Arabidopsis thaliana: one gene and its partner. The protein of the gene in region 2 interacts with the protein of the main gene of each other region in a pairwise test. Each region holds a gene or a part of one and is shown on either strand. Other genes may lie near its edges.

What was found.
Region 1: the proteins of EMB2296 (region 2) and AT1G63480 interact in a two-hybrid assay, tested with the Arabidopsis thaliana proteins (one large-scale study listed by BioGRID).

What each region holds. Positions count from the first base shown.
Region 1 is NC_003070.9:23,537,083-23,546,984, forward strand, and holds AT1G63480 (AT hook motif DNA-binding family protein), read right to left. Parts: upstream 5,152-9,902; 5' UTR 4,604-5,151; coding exon 4,159-4,603; intron 3,752-4,158; coding exon 3,684-3,751; intron 3,599-3,683; coding exon 3,467-3,598; intron 3,385-3,466; coding exon 3,226-3,384; intron 3,072-3,225; coding exon 2,790-3,071; 3' UTR 2,475-2,789; downstream 1-2,474. Other genes in the region: AT1G63470 (AT hook motif DNA-binding family protein), read right to left, coding at 1-30, 219-377, 465-596, 677-744, 1,286-1,781; AT1G63490 (transcription factor jumonji (jmjC) domain-containing protein), read right to left, coding at 7,856-8,015, 8,284-8,474, 8,560-8,655, 8,746-8,844, 8,978-9,034, 9,128-9,463, 9,556-9,715, 9,809-9,902. UniProt on the Arabidopsis thaliana protein: Transcription factor that specifically binds AT-rich DNA sequences related to the nuclear matrix attachment regions (MARs).
Region 2 is NC_003071.7:7,833,680-7,842,307, reverse strand, and holds EMB2296 (Ribosomal protein L2 family), read right to left. Parts: upstream 5,242-8,628; 5' UTR 5,158-5,241; coding exon 4,718-5,157; intron 4,485-4,717; coding exon 4,148-4,484; 3' UTR 3,832-4,147; downstream 1-3,831. Other genes in the region: MSRA5 (Peptide methionine sulfoxide reductase family protein), read right to left, coding at 812-1,009, 1,114-1,258, 1,344-1,456, 1,793-2,101; AT2G18025 (uncharacterized protein), read right to left, coding at 3,312-3,346, 3,423-3,492; AT2G18010 (SAUR-like auxin-responsive protein family), read right to left, coding at 8,068-8,406.

The DNA of each region.
Region 1 (9,902 bases), on a different chromosome or scaffold from region 2:
TGCTCCGTACACGAAACTACAAGCCACCACCTTCAAAATAACAACCAACAAAAAAATTTAGTTTAAGAGTCACATTACATATAAACAAATCCAAACAAAATTTCTCAAACCGTACCAGAACCGTATTTTGAACTTTTGTATTCCAGGTAGCACAAATGTTATACCAAACAATTACAACCAAAACAAAACTTAATGGAGCCAAACCAATTTTGAAATACCTGAACGAGGCTGGCTGCGATAAGCATTCCAATTCCACCGCCGATAACATGACCTTCAGGACCAGAAAGAGAGACACTCAAACCGCCTGTTCGACTTTTGGATCCACCTTCTTCATTCACCAGATAAGATCCACCTAAACTTAGAATCTCAAAACGTCCCTAAAGAACACAAAGAAGGGATAAAGAATCTTTAGTTCTCCACGGTTTGGTTCTTTTTTGGATTAACTGAATGAACGATTTTGAAACCTCAAATGTTAAGGAAGGCGTTGTTGAAGCGGGTTCACGCAGAGTGACTGAAGAAACCGTTCCAGTGCCTGACATTATACAAAGAGCCCGAGGTCTTTTTTGTGAAAAAGACAAAACTTTCGAAACAATATCCTGCAAGAAAAATAAAAGGAAATTGAAACAATGAAAAGCTGCATAACTCATTAAGATTGATAGGAGTTTTTAGAGATTACTTCTCCTGATCCAACACTGATCACATGAGGTGCAAAAGCAAGTCCAGCTGATGTATTCATCCACTCACCTAAGGTAATTAACAGAGTTAAATGACCATTTACTTATCTCAACACAAATGGATCAGTCAAATTACTCTCATAGTTAATACCTAACAACCGATGTTGAGTAGCAGTAACAACAGAGCCAAATCAATACTAATTTGACCATAAAATCATTAAGCTTCTAGCAACCAAAATCTACCTAATCATAAGACCCCAGCTCGTGTTCTTCACAATGTACATAGAAGAAAGTTGTGCCAAAGCTTACAAATTGTGTCCATAAATCAAGAAGTCAAATATCGAGTTGACTACCACATTCTAATGACCAATTACTCATCTCAACTGGCATTGTACCCACACATGGATCAGTCAATTTAATACCTAACAATCAATGTTGAGTAACAGTAACAGTAAGGCTAAAGCAACAAAAACCTAAAATAACCATAGAATCATACATAGCTTCTACCATTCAAACTTTCATCTAATCATAAGATCCTTCAAGGGTTAGCCAACAGAGCTAAAACAACAACTTAACTTAATCAAGTACACAGAAAAAACTTGAGATCTCACCAAGATTAGCCAAGCGTTGCTTCCTTCCAGTTCCGGGAGGTCGACCTCTGGCTCTTTTAGGTGCATTAGGATCAGACATTGAAGAAGAGTCCTTAGACTTTTTACTAACACAAGGCATTGGAGAAAGCCCCAATGAAACTTGTCCATCAGGAACATACTTTCTTGGCCTTCCACGTTTCTTCTTAACCATCGGTTGCTCCGACGGTGGAGGCGGCAGCTGCAGAGTAGGCTGCACCGCAGCAGGAGAAGCCATCCCCATGTGAATGCTGTGTCCGAAATCAGAATGCCTGTGCTCAGCCATGGAGAAAGGAGGTCCTGGATTGCTAGCCTGAGGGTGGTGAATGTTAGGGTTTGACATTGGCCTCATTCCCGGAGGTGGCGGCGGCGCGTGAAGACCACTCGCGACCTGGGAAGGTGTAAGATTGGTAAAAACTCCTCTCTGAAGATAGAACTGAGAATGCGAGCCTGGAAATGCCATAGCTTCTCTCCCATCCATGCATTTAAAACCCTAAATTACAATTCTTTAAGAATCTAAGAGATTTTTTAAAAAAGGAAACTTTTTTGAAGAACAAATTTATCTACCACCCAGAAATCGTAAACCCTAATAACCCAAAGAGTGAAAAGAACAACAATGGCGGCTTTTATATACCCAGTAATCAAAGTCGGGTTATTTTCAGCTGTGAGCTTAAGATCCAAACTGTTTTTATGAAACCTAGAAAAGAAAAAGAAGCTAAATGTTGAGTTCACTTAGAACTCAAAAAGAAAGTAAAATTGCAGATTTGAAATGAAGACAACAAGCAAAAGTAGCTACTACTACTGTTACAGTCTCTCTGGTAGAGAAAGCAAATCTCAGAAAAAAAAAAGGAAAGAAAAAAAAAGAAGAGAAAGGAAGTGAAGACCATTGTTTCTATTTATATACTATTTCTTTAATTAATTTTGTCAAAAAAAAATATTCAATTGGTTTACAAAAAAAATAAATTGGGTTGTTTAAGAATTTTTTTTATTAAAAAGGATATAGACTTTCTTCAATGGTTTATAACAAAATCTAATGTCTCATTAGATTTCTGACTGAAAAAGAAATTTAAGTCAATTTGAGGATATATATTCATTAATATTTAATGCTTTTCATGTATAAATTATGAGCTTGTCATCTTCCTATAAATTAAGGATCCTAAATCTTGTGTGTGTTGAATTACACATTGTCTACCAAATAAGAGGAATCAAGTTTACTAAATATGTTAAAGAACCTGAAAGAAAAATAGTGAACTAGTAAAGAAACCAAGTTCTTGATGACCACAATGAGATCATAAAAGAGTTAAAAAAATCTCCTAAAATAGCATGAAAGTGGGAGGGTTCTGTTACATTAACAATGTTAGAAGGAGCTGAGAGATCTAGTATCAATCCTTAAATGTCTGATTTCAACATTCCCAGAGAGAAATCTACAATAACATATGTACAGCAATCACATTTTGTATGCTGCTGCTTCAAAGACTAATAGTGTATATCATCCACGAGTCAAATCAAAATCAGTGAGTGGGTTTCTGCAAATGTCAAGTGATCTGCCAGAGCCTGAGCCTGAACCGGGCCACCCCCTTATTCCCTGAGAAGAGAAGTTCTGTGGCGTCTGCTGACCCGCAGATGCTGCTGGTTCAGCTGCACTACCCGGTGTGGTCTCCATTTCACTATTGTTGTCCTCTTCATTTGGTTCCTTTTCTTGTCTGATGGTCTTGTTATTGTTATTATGAGTCTTTGCCCTTGCTCCGTATACAAAACTACATGCCACCACCTGAATAACAAACAAGTTTTTCAAACACTACCACATGATATCTTGAAGAGGAAAGAAAGTGACAGCACAAACATATCAAAGGCTAACATTCGTAGTTAGTTTCGCCTCGTTTTAGCTTCACTTTACAACCATTAAGAAGAAGAATTTAATATACCTGAACAAGGTTGGCTGCGATAAGCATGTCAACTCCACCGGCAATAATACTACCATCGGGACGAGAAAGAGAGACACTCAATCCGCCTGTTCGACTTCTGGATCCACCTTCTTCATTCACCAAATAAGATCCACCAAAACTTATAATCTCAAAAGGTCCCTAAGAAACACAGAAAGAGGATTAAATAAGAAATCTTTTCAGGTTTTTCTTTTTCGATTAACTGAATGAACGACTTTGAAACCTCGTATGTTAAGTGACGATCGGTTGAACCGGGTTTGCACAGAGTGACTGAAGAAATGGTTCCAGTGCCTGACATTATACAAAGAGCCCGAGGTCTTTGTTGTGAAAATGACAAAACTTTCGCAGCAATGTCCTGCAAAGAAAAATAAAAGGAAATTGATACAATGAAAAGCTGCATAAATGATCATTAATATATAAAGGAGTTTTGGTCAGTTTACTTCTCCTGCTCCAATGCTGATCACATGAGGTGCAAAAGCAAGTCCAGCTGAAGTATTCATCCACTCACCTAAAGAAATTATCAGAGTCAAGAGTTTGCTATTACTTAAAGTTTGATTAATCACATTATGATGACCAATTACTTAAACATGAATGGATTAGTAAGATTACTCTTTCACAGCTTAAAAACCTAAATCAATAACTTAAATCAAGAAGTCGATTTCGTCCACATCTACTAATAACCAATTACTCCTCTCACCTAGCATTGTACCACACATAGATCCGTCAAACTAATAGCCAACAATCAATATTGAGTATCAGTAACGACAAAGTAACAAAACCTAACTTAACTATAGAATCATTCAAAGCTTCTAGCATCCATAAGATTCAAGCTCATGTCCTTCAAGACTAGCTAACAGAGCTAAAGCAAAAACTTAACTTGACAAAGTACACAGAATAGAAAACTCGAGATCTCACCAAGATTAGCCAAGCGTTGCTTCCTTCCAGTTCCAGGAGGTCGACCTCTGGCCCGTTTAGGTTCATTAGGATCAGACATTGGAGAAGAGTCCCTAGACTTATTACTAACCATCGGTTCTCCATACTTTCTTGGCCGTCCACGTTTCCTCTTAACCATCGGTTCCTCTGGTGGTGGCGGTGGCGGTGGCGGTTGCACATCAGCATCAGAAGCAGAGGAGACCACTCCCATGTGAATGGTGTGTCCAAAATCCGAGAAAGGAGGTCCTGGATTGTTAGCCTGAGGGTGATGAATGTTAGGGTTAGACATTGGCCTCAATCCCGTATGTGGCGGCGGCGCGTGAAGCCCACTCGCGACTTGGGAAGGTGCGAGATTAGTAAAGGCTCCTCTTTGAAGATAGTACTGAGAATGCGAGCCTGGAAATGCCATTGCTTCTCTTCCGTCCATGCATTAAAAACTCCAAAATTACAAGTCTTTAACAGAAATAAGAGATTTTTAAATTGATTAACAAAAAAAGGAAACAAATTTATCTAATCTAATACCCAGAAATCATAAACCCTAATTCCCAAAAGTAGTAAAGAGAACAACAATGGCGGTTTTAAAATTACCCAGTAATCAAAGTCGGGTTATTTATACTGTGAGCTCAAAATCCAATTTGTTCTTATGAACCCTAAAAAAAAAAAGCTAAAATCTGAGTTCACTTATAGAACTCGAAAAAGTACGATTGCAGATTTGAAATTAAGAAAACAGAGGAAAGTAGCTTCTCCTACTGTTACAGTCTTGCAGAGAAAAAAATCAAATCTCCCCCTAAGAGAAAAGCTAGATTTGATTGAGAGAAATCTAGGGTTTCTGAGAAGGAGAACACAATGTATATCAGAGGAGAGACAAAGGAAGAAGACAGATGAGACAATTCAGGGAGAAGAAGAGAAAAAGAGAGAGAGAGAGAGAGAGAGAGAGAGAGAGAGAGAGAGAGAGAGAGAGAGAGAGAGAGAGAGAGAGAGACTAACAGTTTAATGATTCTGATTTATACTTTTAATATTGTGAACTTTTGAATTGAGAGAGGTCTTTCTCTGAAAGTTAGAAGAAAACTAAAGAAGCTGAACGAGAGTGACGACCATTGTTTTTCGTATTTATATATCTCTTTAATTGATTTGTTATTTAATTTTGTGAAAGATAAATTCAATTGAGAGAAAGATTATTATGAAAGATTTAAGCATAGTTTGTTTAAGAATATTTGTTTAAGAATATTTAATGTATTAGTTTGTTTAAGAATATTTAATGTATTAGTTTGTTTAAGAATAGTTTATTTAAAGTATTAGTTTGTTTAAGAATATTTGTTTTTAATAAAAAGGATAGACTTTCTTTGATGATTATTACAAATCTAATATCTCGTTAGATCTTTGACTGAAACCGAAATTTATTAGTCATTGAGAGACAATTATGTGCTTTATTCTCATAAACATTGCTACCAATAAAGATTTAAAAAAAAAATCTTTTCTAACATATTCTAAAGAAAACAGTTGACATTTTAGATTATTATATCATGTAATATATTATTTCTTCTGTGACACACTTTTTCCGTTTTTATATGGAATCATGTTTAGTGGGTAAAATATGTATGCAAAATTTGAAGATAAATTCAATATATATATATGAAAAGTATAATAATGTTTCTAAAGAAACTAAAAAAATAAAGTGAAAATAAAAAGAGAAAAATGTACAAACCTTTTAAAATAATCAAAAATATATTATTCTTGCTAGAAAAAAGAAAAAACTACAACATGATTATTTCAATTTTGGAGCTATTTTAGTGGCTTTACAAACTTTCTACACCTCAACTAATCATGTCTATATATCTTCAATAGTTATCTGTAATTTTTTTTGGTCAACTGCTCTATAATATATTTATAATTTATTTTTAATTAGTATAGATAATTATAAGATTATTTCAAAATATATCTAAAAATTTTAGGTTTTCTTATAAATATATAATCTTGAAATTTCATTCAGTTACACTTTGACAAGAGGCAAGACTAGTATGAAATGACTTCATATCATCTTAATTCAAATTAAGATTTTAAAAGAACAAAAAAAATCAAATCTTGTTGTAAAAAGTTTGATCTTGATTAGAAATATCCAAATATGAGAGAGATGTGTTGTTGACTAAAGGATAGGAAAGAGAATGGGGACACACTTGAATCTCTTCTCTCTCACATGTCTAACTCACTTTGCTATTTCTTTCTTTGCTTCGGACAGTGAGCCCTCTCTCCTAACTTTATTTGTTTTCCATTTTTATATTCCCCTTTTTCTCTTTTACTTTTTATCTAAAATTCTTTTTTTTTATTTTCTTTTAAAAGTTTTGAAAGTGATTTATTAATATATATATATATATATATACGTACATATATTTTGTTTCCACCTAATTTGAAAGTTTGTATGATGCATTTAATATCCGGTGGCTAAAGTACCCGACCAAAAAATCCAAATAGTCAAAATTTGGTGCTAGATATAAATAAAAGTTTTCTAGAGATATATCATATATTATATATTTTGGGTTTAATTAGATTTGTTTTGCTACTCCATTATGAATAATCTTTACATTAATTTGTTTTGTTTAATGTCAACAATATTACATTTGCACACATTTGACTTTTGACAATAAAATAAAGAGTTTTGACTTTCCTTCTTTCACTTTTTGTTTTGCCAACTTTTTACCTAAAGTAATGTGACTTGTCTTTTTTTACTTAGAAATTTCATGATAGGAAAAATTTGAGGCCGACCATTACTGAACTTATACAATATTTTACTTGTTCTTCTTACATAAATAGCTATAAACATACACAAATCAGTCCATTTCATCTACATGTAACATTAATAACTTTAATAAATAAACAAGATATGGACAGTGTGAAATTCACAATAAATGTACTAGATAGATTTTCAAAAATGGAAGAAGAGTGTTGAAGGAAGCTTTCAGCTTGAGGATGGTGTCTCAAAAGGTACAATAAGGCTCTGTTTCTATGAAAGTCCCTTACTTATTACTTCACAACACATATACACACATTATGATACATACATATATAGAGAGATATGATTGTGGGTCTCTGAAACATGATGTCATCAAAAGTGGGTCTCTTTCTGATTCTTGTAAGGAAAGTGATCTCAACTGTTGCTTTTTTATTTTCCTTCTCATGAATTTGTGGGGATTAAGAGATATGATTCTCTTCACACATTGGTGGTCCAACAATAGTTCAAAATTCTAATAGCTGCTGGTAGTTTGATTTTGGTAGAGTTTGTTGAGTTTAAAAAGTGAGAGATATCAACAAATACATACTATAAATCTATAATTGAATAAGAATACAAATTTCAATGGTAAATGTGTTAAACTTGAATAAAACATCAAAGAATGAAACAAGCTTTAAATCTAAGATCTAAGCTAATATCTCCTCTATACATAGTTGTGATTAGAATTTCTTATATTACATAATCATCAAATTCTAGTTATAGATCCACTGATCCAGTTCAAAAAAAAAAAAGATCCAAAAATCTGGCAAATTATTAAGTCCAAAACCTTTTTAATGTGAACTTGTCCATTTTCCAATGGGAAACATTACAAAAAGGTTTGAGAAAACTCATCTAAAATTGAATAAATGAAATTGCTCTATATATCATACCCTCAAGAGATTATTATGTTGGTTTTTAAGTGAAAAACCAGGGAAGAATATGAACCTGAGGACTCCGTTTAGTTGTCCGTTTGATGTGTTTTCGGGTTTTCCACTTTAAGTCATTAACTGCTGCATCAGTCGCGACCATTCTTGTCCGTCTTTGGTTCAGAGACGGTCTCTCTGGCTCTGTTGCTCTGTTAATAGATATCAATCAAACAAATGGGTTCAGAAAAATGGGAGGAAGTGTAGAGTATCTTAACGAATCTGTAAACATTCTCGGTTCAAGCCACTAAGCCTAACAGAAACCACACAATCAGTAGCTTTTGATTGTGACCTAAACTAATGAGTGAAGCAAAAGTATAGAGGTTTCAAGAAAGTATGCTTTTAAAAATCTAAGATCGATGTGAATACAAGTGTGTAGCAATGTGGTTTAGAGTAAGCTTTTATTGCAAAGGAACAAACCTGGCGGGATCGATCTGTGGAGTGGTTTCTGCCAGTGGACAGCAAGCGGAGCAGACATAAGCCTTAGGCCGCCAATGAAGCTTTAAACAATAGGTGTGATACCATTCGCCACATTGACTACAAGAAACCATGGATCTTGAGTTGTATGGCTTTAGACAAATGCAGTGTAACATACTCCGAGCTCGTAAAGACTGCATCAATTTACCATGATACAAACAGTTTTAGATAACAGTAAGGTTATGTGTTAAGCTTTGCTAACATTCATTTCATATTAACCTGAAGTTCCTGCTCTGCATGAACAGGTAAGTTTTCACCCTCAGAAATAAGCTCGAAAACATCTTCCAAGGCAAGAGCACCTGAGTCTGTTACCACCTGCAGATAAAACCAATAGCTCTCGTTTTCATTAAACATTCCATAGAGACTTTACGCGATCAACTGAGAAAACGTGTGTTGGTTATGTACCTTTCTAGCTCGTTTTGCCCACTCCAGTCCAGTGTCTTTTAACTCCATGAGTCTCTTGCCTAAGTAATACTCTTCAGGTAATATTTCAAGTGTTTGTCCCTGTCAATAAGAATGACGAAACTCACAAACCAGATCACTGTGGTTTCCTTGAAAATCCAAAGAGAAGGATAATGCTTAAAGATCCAAAGACATCTTAGTCTGTGTAGGAAGTTAATATATTATCCGAACATACCTCTTTTAAGTGCTGCTGAATATGCTGTAACGAGGGCTTTCCAACATCTTCTAGCAACTGCCATTTAAAGACGCACTTAAAACAATTAAACGGGGTACATAACCACACTGAGTGTCACGAACCAATTAAAATTCAGAAATCTATTTGTACCTCAGAGGTAGGTGAGCTAGAGCTTAACGTGATGGTCTTACAACACCATCCTAGTTTTAGACTTGCAGTTCGAAGTTTGGGAAGTTCATCGAAATTGAGACCAAGGGCCAGACCAGATCTCCTAGCGGAGTCCACTCTGGTTATCAAATCCATTATCTTCGGAAGGATATTGCTATGCGTGCCATCATCTATTTTCGCATTGTCCAACAAATCTTCAGTTTCTTGCAAGAGCTGATGATTATCACACTGCCACCTCTCGCAGTTAAGCAACAATGTTTCAAGAATTCGTGGCTCTTGAAGCTGAACATTGAGCAATTTAGCCTGAGTAACTAGATCCTGCAAAAAATTAAAGCATTAAATTCTCCAAAAATCAAATCAGTTACAAAAACATAAACAGAAACCAAAGTAGGCACAGGAGGCAGACAAACCTTTAATACAGGAAGTTCAAGCATAGAACATGGAGATGATGCCATAGAGGAAGTGGCTGATAGAAAAGGCTCAGATTTCTGAAGCCAAGTTTCAGCCGACGAGATTGTGTTCTCTATGCCTTGCAGAGTAGGTAAAACCGCATCAATGTTGACTGACATCCTAGGAACAAACATCTTTTGATAAATAAAAGACTTAAGAAAAACTAAGCATGGGCTGAAGTAAAAAAATTTACAAGCCTGAACAATTATATACCTTACGAGATCTTTAAGCTCGTACATCTGAGTTTCATTTTCAAGGATAGTGCTTGCTCTTTCCTCCCAACACCGTGCTGTTGACAAAATTCCCG
Region 2 (8,628 bases):
TCTTCTCCTTCGATGTTCGATCTGTGGAGGAGACCGAATCGTTCTTTCGCTTCCGATCTGAATCTATCTTCGTTGATTTTGGGAAAAGTGTTTTTGCGGCTCTGCTTCACTATTTTTGCTTTACCCTAATGATTATCGACGATTGAAACTGTGAGACGAAATCACCACAGATATTTTGGTATCTACGAAATCGCCCCAGATCTTTCAGCAGATTCAAAATGCTCCCGGATCTTTCGGTATATTCGAAACCACCACGGATCGCCCAGTATATGATGAAACCGCCTCGGATCTTTCGGTATTTATGAAATAACCCTGGAACTTTTGATTTTTTAAAAATCACACCCAAACTTACAATATTTACTATAAAAATCCCAAATCGTTATTATTGACAAATCACCCCAGAACTTTCTTTGTATTTGCGAAAATACCAACTGATGATACTAAGATGTAAAGGATTCATAAAAAGCATATTCTATGTGAGAGATTGGCAATCAAAGTATATCATATATATATATATATATATATATATATATATATATATATATATATAATATCAATGAATTGGTAATCAATACCATAATGATACAATGAAAGTCTAACTGAATCTTCTTACAAGAAAACAAAAAGCATATACTATTTGAGAGATCTTAAAAGAAACAAGACAAAACGCTGAACAATCACCACTCAAGGGGCAAGAGTAAGACATAAACATTGTTGTGACCAAATTCCTGGCCAAAAGAATGAACCAAAACTTACATCTGAGACTAAGCAATCAAATCCAAGAACGCGAAGATCTCACAAGGCTTATATATTAGATGTCTCTCAAGACGGGCCAACCTTTTCTAATGATCTCATTAACTCTAGAGTCGATATGTTTCTGGATTCTAGGCGGGCAGAGCTCGGCTGCGTAACCGTTTAGTTTTGTGGCTAGAGCTGATCTCTCAAGCTCTTCTTCTACCATGTTTCCAATTAGCTGAATAAGAAATGGATGTTGTTTCAGCTCGAACTTCTGCAAATACAGAAATTCAAGAGAAGATTGATTTTCTTAATCGTTTATCCTCTAATAAACAGCCGTGATATGAATGGAAGATGCAGAGAGACTTAAAGCTGAACCTGGTGATCAGGCTCTGCGCGATAAAACGTTCCTAGCTGTTGAATTTGAGTGGTCACGATACTGCTTCTTGTATTAAGTTGCTCCCTTTCTTTGCTGGTAGAAGCCAGTCTCAATTCTTCTGTAGAATTAGTGAAAATACAGGATCTGTTCAAAAAGATTCCCATGTTTTAGATTTGGTCCAAACAAACAAACTCAAAGATAAGCATCAGCTATTTACTTGCTCTTTTACCTGTATTGATTACCCACATCAGGACCTTGTCCAAACACTTGTCTAGAATCATGACTAGACCAAAATACATCTAAGAGCTGACGATAACCAATTATCCTTGGATCATATTCAACCTGAAGACAATTACAGAGCAAGAGCAACACAAATCTTTAAGCTCCTCAAACACTAAGTCAGATGAACAAAGACAATTTAGTTTAACTTCAATCAGACAATCACATATACACTAAGATCACACATAACCAAATTTCAACAAAACAACCTAATCAGCTAATGAATGATGATATTCACATAAAGCATTCTCCAATTTTATTATCCAAACGAAATCTGTTAAGTAGAGCAAATCAAATCGAACAACATAGGCACTGATCAAATCAAATCATATCAGCTAAACATCGAATAAACGAAGTAAACATTGGCTCAATCCTCAAAATTGAAACAATAAAACCAACCTGTACGGACTCGGCGTGATCACCTAAGTTCCTATACTCCGGATTCGTCTTCGTTCCACCGGCGTAACCGGCGGAGGTTCGTACGACGCCATTGATACAACCAAACGCCGCCTCCGATCTCCAGAAGCTTCCAAGAGCGAAAACCGCAGATTTCAAAGGACGATCGGGAGAATCAACGACAGTATCCGAGATCTGATTCGAAATCCTGATGGATACAGTTTTATCGAGCAGAGAGACACACAAGAAGAAGAAGAAGACGAGATTCGTATAAGGAATGAAGAAACGGTTCCTCTTCAGTGATATAGCCATTACACAGTTTTCGTCTAGCTGCTGTTTCGAACCAGGGAACGAAACTCCATATGAACGAACAACCTGTAGTCGATTGAGTCGAGTCGCTCAAAAAGTCACGCCATGGCTCCACCTCCATTAAACTCTGTCTTTGAGAGTTGAGACCCTCTGATTCATTTAGAGGGTTCGCTGCATGATTATTGAAAAAGAAGTGATTTAGATTACTTTATTTCGGCTAACAATTAAGGCATGATTCCTTTTGGTAGGAGCGAGGTACCAATATCGCGACTCGAACCGTGGTGAGACTCTCTCATCATGCTGAGTCTCAACCGCTTTTACCAGTTAGCAATTGGTGACCATATTTCTACTTAGTTGATACTTAAAGACGTTTTAAACATATAACCAAATACTCGGTTTGATACGGTTCGTTTAAATATTAAAATTATTCGGTCGAGAACAATAATCAAAACTTGCGATGATAACTTTTTACAATTTGCAATAATACTTTAAACTTTTCGAGAGAGAAGACAAAGATTATCATAAAAATGTTTACAATTTGAGAACAAGGTCCAAACGGATATATATACATATAAAAGAGAAGCAAATGTTTTTTTTTAATTTATTTATTGTTTAACAACCCTAGTGGCGGCTGAAGCAGCAGCTTGACCTCTCCTCCTAGCAGCAATAAGACCTTCTGTCCGAACCTACGCACCTCTGCGACTGAGAGTTTGTGACATATGTGGTGATGGAAGAGAAAATTTGACATGAGGGATAAGCACGGTTCTGTTCTTATGCTTACCAACCCAGGGAAACTAATTTGAAGTCAAGGAGAGAAATAGATAAGTTGAGTGATCTGAGGCAAGAGCCGTCTTGTGTTATTGATGATATGTTGTTTTCTGTTAATCTTCATGACTCAAGAGAGTATTATCCAATAATGGTGTATGTATGATCCAATTATCCAAAGGAGGCGCATTGAAAACCCTTGTGGGTTTTTCAAGGTTTTCCGGCTAACGTGCTTCCCAAGGTGTCTAAAATGGTGAATTTTGTTGGATTTTGAGCCTTTGATCAAACTTGCAATAAGTGTGATGAAGATGAGAACCAAAGCAACAGAAGAAAAGAGAAGAAGCGTCGGAGATGAGACTCGTGAAGAGAGGAGTCAACGACAAGAGAGAAGTCACGATACTGCTTCTTGTATTAAGTTGCTCCCTTTCTTTGCTGGTAGAAGCCAGTCTCAACTCTTCTGTACAGTTAGTGAAAATACAGGATCTGTTCAACATATATTCAAATGTTATAGATTTGGGCCAAACAAACAAACTCAAAGATAACCAAACAGCTCTTTTACCTGTATTGGTTACCCACATCAGGACCTTGTCCAAACACTTGTCTAGAATCATGACTAGAGCAGAATACATCTAAGAGCCGACGATAACCAATTATCCTTGGACCATATTCAACCTGGAAGACAATTATAGAGCAAGAGCAACACAAATCTAGCTATTGGATCAGATACTAAAACCAATTCCTCAAAGTCTCAAACGCTAAAAATTGATGGACAAAGACAATTTAGGTAAATCTCAATCACATAAACACAAATATTACACATTACCAAAACTCAGCTAATCAACTATAGAATCAGACTTGTATTACGCACATAAATGTCTTTGAGTCCTCTGTGTCATTTTGAAGGTTTGCTGCAAGATTCGTTTTTAAGATTCCTTGTAATTTTTTTTTAGGTACTTCAGATTGCTTCAATTCGACTAACACCAAAGACTTGATTCTTTGTGATAGCAATGCGGCGGGCTGCTGTTTCGATGAAAATCTGCAATTCAACTACCACTTTAACGATCACGAGAATTGGTTACGTTGTTCTTACATAATTTTCATATGTACAAAATGAAAACTTTGCGTATTGAGAGTATGCAATGTGAATAACATAAGCTTTTCGAGAAGAGAGAAAGGTTTATCATAAAAATCTTTTAGGATTTCAGAATGAGGTTCAAAAGGAAACACAGACAACAAAACTTGAAACATAGAAAACAAGAGAAACAAAGTTTATCTCTTTTAACTCTAGTCTGCCTTGGCAGCTGAAGCAGCAGCTTGACCTCTGAGACGACCAGTCCTCCTTGCAGCAATAAGACCAACCTTCTGTCCAGGAGGTGCATCACGCCTAACAGTACTGGCGTGACCAATGTGCTGATGGTTACCTCCTCCATGAGGATGCTCCACTGGATTCATAGCCACACCACGAACCTTAGGCCATGAGTTCCTCTTCACACGGTACTTGTGGTACGCGTTTCCTGCCTTGAGCATCGGCTTCTCAGTTCTTCCACCTCCAGCAACTTGTCCAATCATAGCCCTGCATCCACTTGGGACAATCTTCTTCGAACCCGATGGCAACTTAATCCTGCGCAAACATATACTCAAATCATCATTCACAAGACTACAACAACTATACCACAAGCATTTCTAATTAACGAAATGATTCCATTAACATCATCATAAACTACACTAAATAACCAATGATACATAAGCATTTTCTAATTAATCTGATTAAGATCATCATAATCTACAACAAACAATCAACAGATCTGAAAATGTTTATAAGCCTCAGAAGATTTTTGGATAAGAGAAACAAACCTAGTAGTGTCGCTGTCAGGGTTGTGAGCGATAACAATGGCGTAATCACCAGAAGCTCTAGCGAGGACACCACGATCACCGACGTGATGCTCGACGTTGCAGACAACAGCTCCTTCAGGAATAGATCTAAGAGGGAGAACATTTCCAACGACGAGAGTAGCTTTCTTACCGCAGTACAAGAACTGACCGGTGTACATACCTTCGGCGGCGACGAAGAGCTCCTTTTGTTTCTTGAAACGGAAAGGATGACGGAAAGTGACACGAGCAAGAGGAGCACCACGACCAGGATCGTGGATGATCTCCGTCACGACGCCCTTGAGGTAACCATTTCTCTCGCCGAAATCGAGGCTACGGAACTTAGCCGGACCTTTGCGGTGGTGAGTGTGGGATTTGAAGACGGAACCCGCACCCTTACGTTGAGCTCTGATGACACGACCCATGGATGCTCTCGACGGCGAAGTTCAGATATTAGGGTTTTGAGATCCAACTTGAGAGTGAGGAAAATGAACCCTTTTTATTCTGCAACCTCATGTTTGTTCTAACCCTAATGGGCCTAAGTGGATCTTTATTTGATATGGGTCAGAAGAATCTAAATGGTGTAGTAATTGTTCAAACCCATACAAAAGACCGAGTTAAGAATCACAAAGGCAGGCCTACCAAACTAGACTAATCCGGATGCTAACCAAATCATATTAGAATTTTTCTTAGAAAAACCAAGTTAAAAAGCCCAACCCAGATTTATCCGGATGCTAACCGAATCAATATCAGAATAAATCATATGAATATAATTACACGATACCAGAATAACTAAATAATTGTTAAGAGAAAAATAATAAAATGAATGAAATATATGAATAATAGATATATATGATTGAAAATTTAGTTTTAGTAGATTCATCAAGTTTTTTTTTTTATCATATTTTTAACACGTTATATTACCGAATATTTTTGCTGAAAATCTGTCGAAAAGTTGCTTAGTATTCTAACGGATTTTTGACAAGTCACAACGAAATATTTTGGTTGGAAAGCCGTCAAAAATATTTCATCAGATTTAGTTTAGTCAGAATATCGTTGGAAATTATTGACGAATTTTTGATCATTGGAATCCGTCGAAAATTTCGATGATTTTTCAACGAAAAATTTATCGTCAAAAAATAATTAAAAAAAAAAAAAAAGTCAAATATATCCGACCTTTTATTTATCATCAGAAATTTCGTCGAAAAAAGTTTTATTTACTTATAGTTATATATACAGTATAATCACTTTTCAAGAACGTAAATTCTTAATAAATACTTTGAATCGTAAAAAGTAGCAAAATCATGTTTTTCAAACGTTAAAACGTGAACAAGTGGTATATTATTCATAATACTTAAAAAAAATGCGTCTCATGATAGTCTGAGTCATATGATAAATATATAGATTGATATATAAAATGATGATAATGCAATTCTAATTTTGGTGATGGTATATCACTAGCATCTAATAATCAATAATGTCAACACAAGAACATATTTAATGCAAAAACCCTCTCCAAAATAACAATAAACAATTCTTTGGAGAACACATAATATGGGCAAGCTAGCTTCTGAGCAGACAAATACGGGCAAGCCCAAATTGGATGTTACTAATACTAACCCACGGTTTGTACTTTGTCCAATCCAGATTCCGATTTCAGGTTAACCCGGCGAAAACCGAATCAAATTAGAAAACTCATAATATTTTCTTAAAAGTTAAAACTGATTTGAACTTTAGAATAAGTTAATATCAAGCTGATTATAGATTTTTGAGATACATATGATAAAGGTATATGTTCTATAATATGATGATGATGTATGAAACTGGAAATAATTATTAAGCAACTCGAGTTCGTCGTCGATGATATATCCACTAGCATCTATGATGTCAACAATAACATATTTAATGCAAAAACCCTCAGAAGAAACAATAAAAAATTGTTAGAAGAACACACAATATGGGCAAGCTAGCTTCTGAGCAGACAATGCATTTTTTAAATTGTTATTACATATAAATTGTCTCGTGAATACGGTATGGCAATTTAAATCCAGATATATGATAGTAATGTGCCTTGAATAAAGTCTATGAACATTTCATAAAATACAAAAGTTAGAGATGAAAAAAAGTGCGAGACTAGCTCATCAAAAAGAGGAGAGACTCATCAAGTAGACTGGTATTAAGGAATGAAGAACATTAATGTTAAGTGACATATTTTGCAAATGATACCAATCTACTTTGTTAGGACATGATGGTTTAGCGGTCTATGTACCATCTTGTCAAATACACATGTATTTCTTCTTTTACGAGAAACATAATGGGACATCAAATTAGTTCATCTATATTACGGAAGATCTCTTCAATTTTTTTTGTAGCTTAGGTAACAACTATAAATTCGCACAGATACAAGTATATGTAGGGACTCTGGTTGGTAGGACCATAATGATCCATCACAAAAATCTGACTCAATATAATTGATATATACACATAAAATCTTTTGAAATACTACTTGCTACGTCTACATGTAAAAGGAAATGAGTCAAATTACGGTGATTGACACACCGACAAATAAATATTGAATACACGTATAGCAAAACTTTTGTGTTGAAAGAAAACAAAACAAATTGTTTTATGACTCGAGTGTTTTATGATTAATCTCGTAACCTGTATCTTAGTAAAAGAGAAAGTATTACTTTTATAAAGATGCTAAGTAATATTTCTATCATTACTTTTGTCAAATGATGGACACCGTGATACTTTGTCATACGAAACTATGTCTTTGTAATTCTAAATTTTTCGAAGAAATAGAAAGCTGTTTACACATGATTAGTTAGTCTTAGTCACAAATTAGGTTAAGAACGTGAGTTATGAATTGTTGGACCATTCATGTACTAATTTTTTTTATAAAACAACATTATATATTACGCGGATTTTAACTCGAACGATGATAACACATAAACATCGTTAGCACAAACCACCAAAACTATTGAGGATTCTTGATTGATCTTAACCAATAAAGTTTTAGAAGTTAACTAGCTAATCCTCTCAAGATCATCGATCAACATTTTACGTTGACTTGAGGGAAAAAGTCTCCCACCCCACCCCAACTACAACAAAATATTTAAAAGAGAAAATGACTAATAAATTTAGCAAAGAAAAAAACCACAAACGGGTTAATGCCTACGAAGCTTTTTAGCCATGTTCTTGCATCTTAATCAGACAACCCTAAAAAATGAGTTTGTTTCTTGTTTTTGGATTTACTGATCTCGGCTTCAAATTTTCTTTCCAATAAAGAAATCTTTTCTTCAAGAATAATAATCTGTCTCCGATATCGGGCTTTATCTAAACATGGAGATAAGAGACCTGAAGAAGACTTCATCACAAGGAATGGTTAGACCCATATCATGGTCAAACCCAAATTCTTCCTCAGCTAGTCGGAGCAATGTTTGGAACTCGGAGTGATGGAGCCATGAGATAGGAACGATGTACCGACTTCGGTTCGGTCCCACGTAAACCGGAAAATGACCTTTTGGCACGTCTTGAGGAAGATCATCTTCTTGGTTATAGTAACAACCATTTACGTTCTTCATCTTTCTTAGACTCGAGCATCTCTTTACTATTTGCTTGATAGATGCTGCTTGAGACGACGTCGCTTTGCTCGATCTCTTTATTGCCATTGTTCTTTTTTTTTCTTTTGTGGAATTAGTTTTTGCTTGAAGAATGTTATATGGAGGTAAGAGGTACAATGGAGAAGTATTTATATGGACAGTTTGGAAGGCTAATAAATTAATAGAGAAATAATCATTAATGCAGTATATCACTATACTTTTAAAATTGGGGGCTATAGTTTTTTTTTCTTCATCAAATTGGGTAGTATAGTTCGTTGATTATAATTAAAT